Drosophila melanogaster: one gene and its partner. The protein of the gene in region 2 purifies or fractionates together with the protein of the main gene of each other region. This does not show direct contact. Each region holds a gene or a part of one and is shown on either strand. Other genes may lie near its edges. The genes, in order: Rpt5 and Hsp27.

Region 1 (3,922 bases), on a different chromosome or scaffold from region 2:
AATGCTGAGGGCATAGGATGGGTTGATATTCGATATCCACTCCTGCTGCTACTTCCACTTAGATTGTACTTTTCGTCGTAACGCTATTTTTTTCTACCAATACATAACTGAATACTGAGTGATGATCCGCTGGAATCCACACCAGATGCCAGTCAGTGGAGCTATGACCAGGACTAGTGCAAGCGCTGAACTTGTAAAAATTATTTCCTAAGCGAAAAGTAGTACATAGGGTTTGTATAGTGATTAAATTAAAACTTTTAATTAGAGCGTGTACGATCGATATCGATATCTTAATTTCGGTTTTCATTTTTAACAAAAAATTATAAACACAAAGCGTAATGGATAAATGTCTTTTGTCGACGCTGCTCACGGGTTTACAAATCAGCACTTCATTTATTTTATTTTTAATAATAATAATTATTAATAAATTATTATAATTAATTTATAATAATTCACGGCGCGCTTTATTAATTAGTGTTTGTTGTGAGTGTTTTATTTCTCCATGTATGAATCGTATAAAAAGAACAAGAGCGAGCGGCGGTTAATTCTGATCGGTTGACTCCTTGGCCTCGGCCTCAGCATCCTCGTCGCCCTCCTCAACGGGCGGCACAGGGACATCGGCGCTGCTATCGGGCTGGACGATCACCTTCTTGGGACTCGGGCCGTAGCTGTCTGCCTCTGCTGAAATGGCACCAGACGGTCCGGGAGCAGCATCCTCATCCTCGTCGTCGTGAGTCGTCGACTCCGGTTGCAAGCTAGCCGCTGCCTCAGAGGCGACGCCGTTTTTCGCTTCCTCTACGGAACACTCCTCGGGATGTGAGACCTTGCGCTTGGCAATCCGTTCGCTGAGCGCCTTGTGTAGCTGGGCAATGTCCGCCGGTCGGCCCATGGCCAGGAAGATCTTGACAACGCCAGAGTTGTCGATGGCCGTTAGTCGTAGGGACTTTTGGCTGGCTCGCTCCGCCACCATGGCGGCCCAGACTTTGGTGTTGAGAAGCAGGCGCAGATTGCCAGAAGTGCGGAACACCACGCGCGAGTCGCCCCTTAAGTCCTTGGCGTCGTTTAAGCGCAGACTGCCGCGACCACGCTCCTCCCAGTTGCTGTTAAGAAAGGCGAATAGCTTGCAGCTCACGTCGATAATGTTGATCTCGTCCTCCTCGCCGGTGAAGGTCTCGACCTCCTCGTATTTGCGTTTCTGAGCGCGGCTCTCCTCATACTCCCGGGCCACATCCGTCAGGCTCTTGGCCTCGGCGGACTCCTTGTTGTTGCTGCTGCTGCTGCAAATGGATGAGGAGGCAGCGGCCTCGCTGGTCTCTGTGGTCTGGGCAGCGTTCTGAATGACGCTTGAGAAGAGCAATGGCGCCGAGGACGACGTAGCAGCGGTGGAGGAGGAGGCAGCCTCCTGGGCTGATACCGAGCTGGCTGCCGTATCTGCATCCGGCTCAGCGGTGACCTGTTCAGCATTGGGGGCCACCACACGTTCATGCACATTCTGGCCGAAGACGAACCCGCTGGACTGAACATTTGGCATGTTGTTCTTGGCTGCTGCAAACATGCTGGAGCGCTCAATGCCATTGCTACGCAGCTTGGTCAGCGGATCCGGCCGCTCGTCGACATCGTCGTCCTCCTTGTCGCCAGTGGACTCGGCTGCCGCAGATCCGGTGGCCACCACCTCCTCGTCATCGTCGTCGTCCTTGGACTCGCGCAGAAACGGATTATTCAGCAGGGCGCTGTCTTCACCTGCACTTGGGGATGTGGAACTATTGTTGGAGCCGCTGCTGTTTGCCAAGACTGCTGGGCGCAGGACAGCACCGCCCAGGCGAGAAGCCTTCAAGGTGAAGCCACCTCGGAAACAGTTAGTTTCGACTGACGCTTCTGGAAACAAGGGGGAAAAAACAAGACTCGTTTGTCAGTTTGTTGCGAACTCTTCAAGGGCACAAGATTCGCGATATTTGGCAACTTTAAGTTATAGCAAGCATTACAGCTTGTTTTGCTACGCTTACCATTATTTTCAGACATTGCAAACTAGTCTACTTGCAATTTTAAAATATAAATTGCCAAATCTTTTACAGAATAGAGCGTTCTGTGTAAAGCCTGCCGTATTGTTATCGCTGTGTTATCGCTGTCACTATCGATAAGCGCCGGCGATGGCGCTCTGTTGTCAACACTGACTTTTTCAGTGTTGCTTACTTGCCGCTGAAAAACAAGAAATTTACAAGTCATCGACAGAGTGTTTGCCCAAAAAGATCGGCAATAATAGCATTTTAACAAAGAATTACATTCAGCAACGGCTAATCAACAATCGTATTAGACATGGCTCAGACTCTGGAGGATAAGTCAATCTGGGAGGACGGGGAGGAGTCCCTGGGCGAGGAGGTGATGCGTATGTCCACCGATGAAATTGTGAGCAGGACTCGCCTGATGGACAACGAGATCAAGATCATGAAGAGCGAAGTGATACGCATAACGCACGAGATTCAGGCGCAAAATGAGAAGATCAAGGACAACACCGAAAAGATCAAGGTAGGGATGACAATGAAACGCCACCCTGCCAAATAGCCTCATTTGTTAAGTACTTCCCCATTAGGTCAACAAGACACTGCCCTACCTGGTGTCCAATGTAATAGAGCTGCTGGATGTGGATCCACAGGAGGAGGAGGACGACGGCTCCGTCACCGTTCTGGACAACCAGCGAAAGGGCAAGTGCGCCGTCATCAAAACATCCACTCGACAGGCGTATTTCCTGCCCGTCATCGGCCTGGTTGATGCCGAGAAACTGAAGCCAGGTGATCTGGTCGGAGTCAACAAAGACTCCTATTTGATCCTGGAAACCCTGCCGGCAGAGTATGATGCCCGCGTAAAAGCCATGGAAGTGGACGAGCGACCTACAGAGCAGTACTCCGACATTGGAGGTTTGGACAAGCAGATACAGGAGCTCATCGAGGCAGTGGTGCTGCCCATGACGCACAAGGAGAAGTTCAAAAACCTTGGCATTCACCCACCCAAAGGTGGGTATCTCACTCGAACAAATGTCACACAACCATATTAATCCTTGCCATTTACAGGTGTCCTTTTGTACGGCCCCCCTGGAACTGGCAAAACATTGCTGGCCCGTGCCTGCGCCGCTCAGACAAAGTCCACCTTCCTCAAGCTGGCAGGTCCCCAGTTGGTGCAAATGTTCATCGGTGATGGTGCCAAGCTGGTGCGCGATGCCTTCGCCTTGGCCAAGGAGAAGGCGCCTGCCATTATCTTCATTGACGAGTTGGACGCCATTGGCACCAAGCGTTTCGATTCGGAGAAGGCCGGTGACCGTGAGGTCCAGCGAACTATGTTGGAGCTTCTTAATCAGCTCGATGGCTTCAGTTCCACTGCAGATATTAAGGTGATTGCGGCCACCAATCGCGTAGACATTCTGGATCCTGCTCTGCTGCGCTCTGGTCGTCTGGATCGTAAGATCGAGTTCCCACATCCCAACGAGGAAGCCCGTGCCCGTATTATGCAGATTCACTCGCGTAAAATGAACGTTAGCAATGATGTGAATTTCGAGGAATTGTCCCGATCCACGGATGACTTCAACGGCGCCCAGTGCAAAGCCGTCTGTGTGGAAGCTGGTATGATCGCACTGCGTCGCTCCGCCAATTCGGTTACGCACGAAGACTTCATGGACGCCATCATGGAAGTGCAGGCGAAGAAGAAGGCTAATCTTAACTACTACGCTTAGACTAAAAATTTGCAGTTTAACTTCACATTGTCAGCTCCCATTAAAATAAACCATGGAAATGTAAAATTTTTCAGTTTCGATCTGAGTTGCCCCTTGAAGATCGCCTTTAAAATAACATCGCAACGGCTCTTAAAAGTAACTAGAATGGGAGACGTACTGAAATCAATACCCAACCTTTTTAAAATAAACAAAAATATATAT
Region 2 (3,922 bases):
CGAAAGCTCCACGGAGCCGAGAAAACTGAGATATATCCGTATCTCAACACCCAGCTGAGAAATATGAATGAAAGCCGTTTTAGATATAGATATAGAATTAACAGTAAATACTTATGATCGCTACAAGTTACGAGCATAAAACAACCAATATGAAATCAGAACGGGCAACTAAATTTTTTATTATGTATTAAATATTTAAATAAATATGTGCAAACAATTGATTAAATTATTTAAATGTCGTTCTTATCTTGGATTTTCTTTCAGTGTGCGCGGAACTGGAAATATTTGCATGACGTTTGTCAAAATGTAATTGAAAAACAAAAATCATTTCCCATTTTTTTTTATATCGATTTCTGAATTGTGCAAAATCATTACAAATCATCATAACAATCGTCGACAAAGGTTAAGCAATTGGCTGACCATTTAATTTTCCACAAGTCCAATTCAAGGACAAGGAAAACAGAATATGTACATAAGACCCCTTGAAAGTTAACGACACCCAACAAAAGCCGGTTTACCCTAAATGCAAATACATTTGCAGATTCGAAGCTAAAAAGGAAAAAAAACCAACAAAAACTCGACAGCTGACTTCTTTTCGTGTATTTGTATTTATTGTATTCGTTTATTCACAAATGAAATGCAAAATTCTCCCGAGTGTTGCGCCTGTTCTTGTTACAAAAAGTATAAACTCAAAGGGAGCAATGAATCCTCCAGTTGTTTAGCCTAATAATACACACTAAAATTTTGTTTTTTTTATGCATTATGATAAATGGAGTTTAAAATCACTTAGTCTAGGATGTTATGATGATGATGTAATGATGTGATGTGTGTGAATGTAATACATTGGGTGTGTTGTGGTGTGTCCTTTTTAGTCTTGCTCTCTCCGAGCAGCGCGGCAACACTCCCGTTTCTTCTTTTAAATTCTTCTTTCTCTCGTGCTTCGCCAGCGAATCTCGTCGTCTTCTTCCTCCTTCACGACTTCTTCCTCTTCTAGTCTTCTTCCTCTTCTCGTCTTCTTCATCTCCTAGTCTTCCTCTTTTCGTCTTTTACTTGCTAGTCTCCATTTTCTCGCCGCTGCCATTTTCGGCTTTTCCATCGCCAGCCTCGGGTGCCGGTGCCTTGACGCTCAAATGGGCAGGCCCCGTTTGCTGGATCTGGACAATGCGCTCCGACTTGGCCTGTTCCTTGCTGGGCGGCGGCGGGGCCTTGAGGGTCAGCACACCGTCGGATGAGACAGTGGACACTACCTCGTTGGGGTCAAAGCCCTTGGGCAGGGTATACTTGCGCACAAAGTGACGCTGGATCATTCCATGGCCGTCCTCGCGCTCCTCGTGCTTCCCCTCTACCACCACGGTGTTGTCCACCACCTTGACGGTCAGCTCGTTGGGCTTGAACTGCGACACATCCATGCACACCTGGAAGCCATCTTTGCCCACGGCGGGCAGCAGAGCGTTTGGACCCCCCGACGCGCGACGTGACATTTGATTGTGGTGGCCATGGCTCCTCTCGTACGGCGAATAACGACGACGACCCAGTCCCAGGGTGTTGGGCAGTAGCAGGCGACGCGGATGGAACAGATCGTGGGCATGGACGCCAAAACCGAAGTCATCCTCCAGCAAATGCCCCCAGTCGGTGCGGTAGTCATGATCCAACTCCCGGGCCAAGTGCAGCAGTGGTATAATTGACATTTTTGATTTTTTTTCTCTTTATTCACAACCCTGTCTAGACAAAGGAATTTTTTTTGCTTTTTCGAATTTTTTTAGCGAAGTTTGCTTCAACGTTTGCCTTCAATTTTTCAGTTTAGACTGTGCTCGGGCGACGTTGACGCCGGCTTTTATACTGACGCTGGGCTCACACACACTAGTGCATGGCAACCAGGGACGGAACTTTAATAAAATGATGGGGGGTTGCCATCTTCGTTAGATTTTGCCTGCAGAGAAGGTTTTCCCTATGATCCCCTAATGCAAATATAATAATATTTAGATATAGGCAAGCAATTATTAGCCTGTCAAACTTAAAATTTAAGCGACATTTAAAAGCCCCTTTGAATACGCCCCGTAATTCAACAAACAGTTTTCTCTCGCATCTTCTGGCTCTTTCTAGCACAGCCGGCTTTTCATAGAGAGAGGGAGAAAGAACCAGAAACTTCTTGACATTTCTTTTCTGGGGAGTTTCTCTTTGCGAATAAAAAGCAAAACGAACAGTTAAAATGCAGTACATACATATGTATGTACATGTACGTATATATGCAGATATATGTATTTATTTAAAGCATTTTCTTCTCTTATCGCTCTTTTAAAAGCTGTCTTTTCAGAGTGCAACAGAGCTTGTATTTTCATTGGACAAGTGCATTGAACCCTTGTCTCGCTTCGTTCTGCTCCTCATGTTTGCCGTTCTTTTGTTTGTTGCAAACATTTTTGCAGTTGCTTTCGCCACTGCTTCGCGAAGTGGGAAACGGGGCAATTGAAAATTTTGCAAATCATTGCCAGTCTGTTGCAAGTGTTTCGATTATTATATGTACATATGCATACATTTCTATATATATGTATATGTGTATATAGAATCTTTTTATTCTTGGTTCACCAGTTAACCAAAATACATAATTATTTTCAAAACTACATGCATACATACATATGTATGTGTATGTGTGCATGCACGTAATTATTTGCGGTAACATACAAAAATGAAGTTCAATTTATACATGTACATAGGTACGTGCTATAAGGACGTACATAACGTACATCTCTTGTAGAGATGACAGAAATTCATTAAAAAGAAGAGAGTGAAAAGGGATGTATATTCTTATGTACGTATGTATGTACATGATGTACTTATGCATGCTTTACATAAGGATTTAACCTTGACTGAAGTTCCTTACATTCATAGCTTCAAGTCTCTTTACCGAAGTAATGTAAAAAGTCAGTTATGTACACAAACAACAATTAAATAAAAATGCCATTTTACGTGACACAACAATGCAATATACAATGCAGAAAGTAAATTCTAGAAACCGGGATCACAGGAAAAAGGGCCAAGCTAGCCAAACAATTCCCAAAGTAATAGTAATAGTAACCCATAACCAACCAGAAAAACAGACCAAACACAATTATAAGTAAGTGTACTTGTTATTTATTTTTATGGGTAATATTAATTTCGCCAATTTAGTAATACATATTCCAAACTAAGATTAAAGCAGGACACCCTTAATGGCTATTGTGTATGAGTGAAGTGTCCTTGGATAACTACAGCTTATAAAACAGATGTATGACTTTGATAATGGTTAAATAATGCAGGGCATCTCTCGGAACGAGTCCTCTACTTATCGTTGCCATTGTCCTGCTCCACCGCCTCCTTGGGATTCTCCTTCACATTGAGATGGGCGGGTCCCACCTGCTGGATCTGAACGATGCGCTCGTTGCCCTTATCCTCGATTGCCGGTGGCTTGGGCACCTTGATGGTCAGGACACCATCGGAGGACAAGGTGGAGGCCACCTTATCAGCCTCATAACCGGGTGGCAGAGCATAGCGGCGGACAAAGTGACGAGTGATGAAGCCATGGTCATCTTCGCGCTCCTCATGGTTGCCCTCCACCAGGACGGAGTTGTCCTGCACTTTGACCACCAGTTCGCTGGGCTTGAAGTGCGACACATCCATGCAGACCTGGAAGCCATCCTTTCCGATTTTCGACACGGCTCCCGACGATCCCGACGAGGCGCCCACCTGTTTCTCCAGCTGGCGCAGCTGCTGCTCCATCGGTCCAACCAGGGCCAAGTAGGGATTCCTCTGGCGCTGGCAGTAGTAGGGCTCATAGAAGGGCACCATCGACATTCGGCCCAAATCGTCGGCAAGGCTCAACAACAATGGAATATTTGCCATTTTTGTTTTTTAATTGCTTCAAGATGATTCTCCTTCAAAGAATAAA

The links.
Region 1: the proteins of Hsp27 (region 2) and Rpt5 purify together in Drosophila melanogaster (affinity purification with western blotting, with the first as the bait; one study listed by BioGRID). This does not show direct contact.

The regions. Positions count from the first base shown.
Region 1 is NT_033777.3:23,750,701-23,754,622, forward strand, and holds the start of Rpt5 (regulatory particle triple-A ATPase 5), read left to right. Parts: upstream 1-2,175; 5' UTR 2,176-2,313; coding exon 2,314-2,523; intron 2,524-2,587; coding exon 2,588-3,008; intron 3,009-3,065; coding exon 3,066-3,721; 3' UTR 3,722-3,922. Other genes in the region: RanBP3 (Ran binding protein 3), read right to left, coding at 542-1,875, 2,004-2,019.
Region 2 is NT_037436.4:9,381,952-9,385,873, reverse strand, and holds Hsp27 (heat shock protein 27), read right to left. Parts: upstream 1,812-3,922; 5' UTR 1,689-1,811; coding exon 1,047-1,688; 3' UTR 180-1,046; downstream 1-179. Other genes in the region: Hsp23 (heat shock protein 23), read right to left, coding at 3,316-3,876.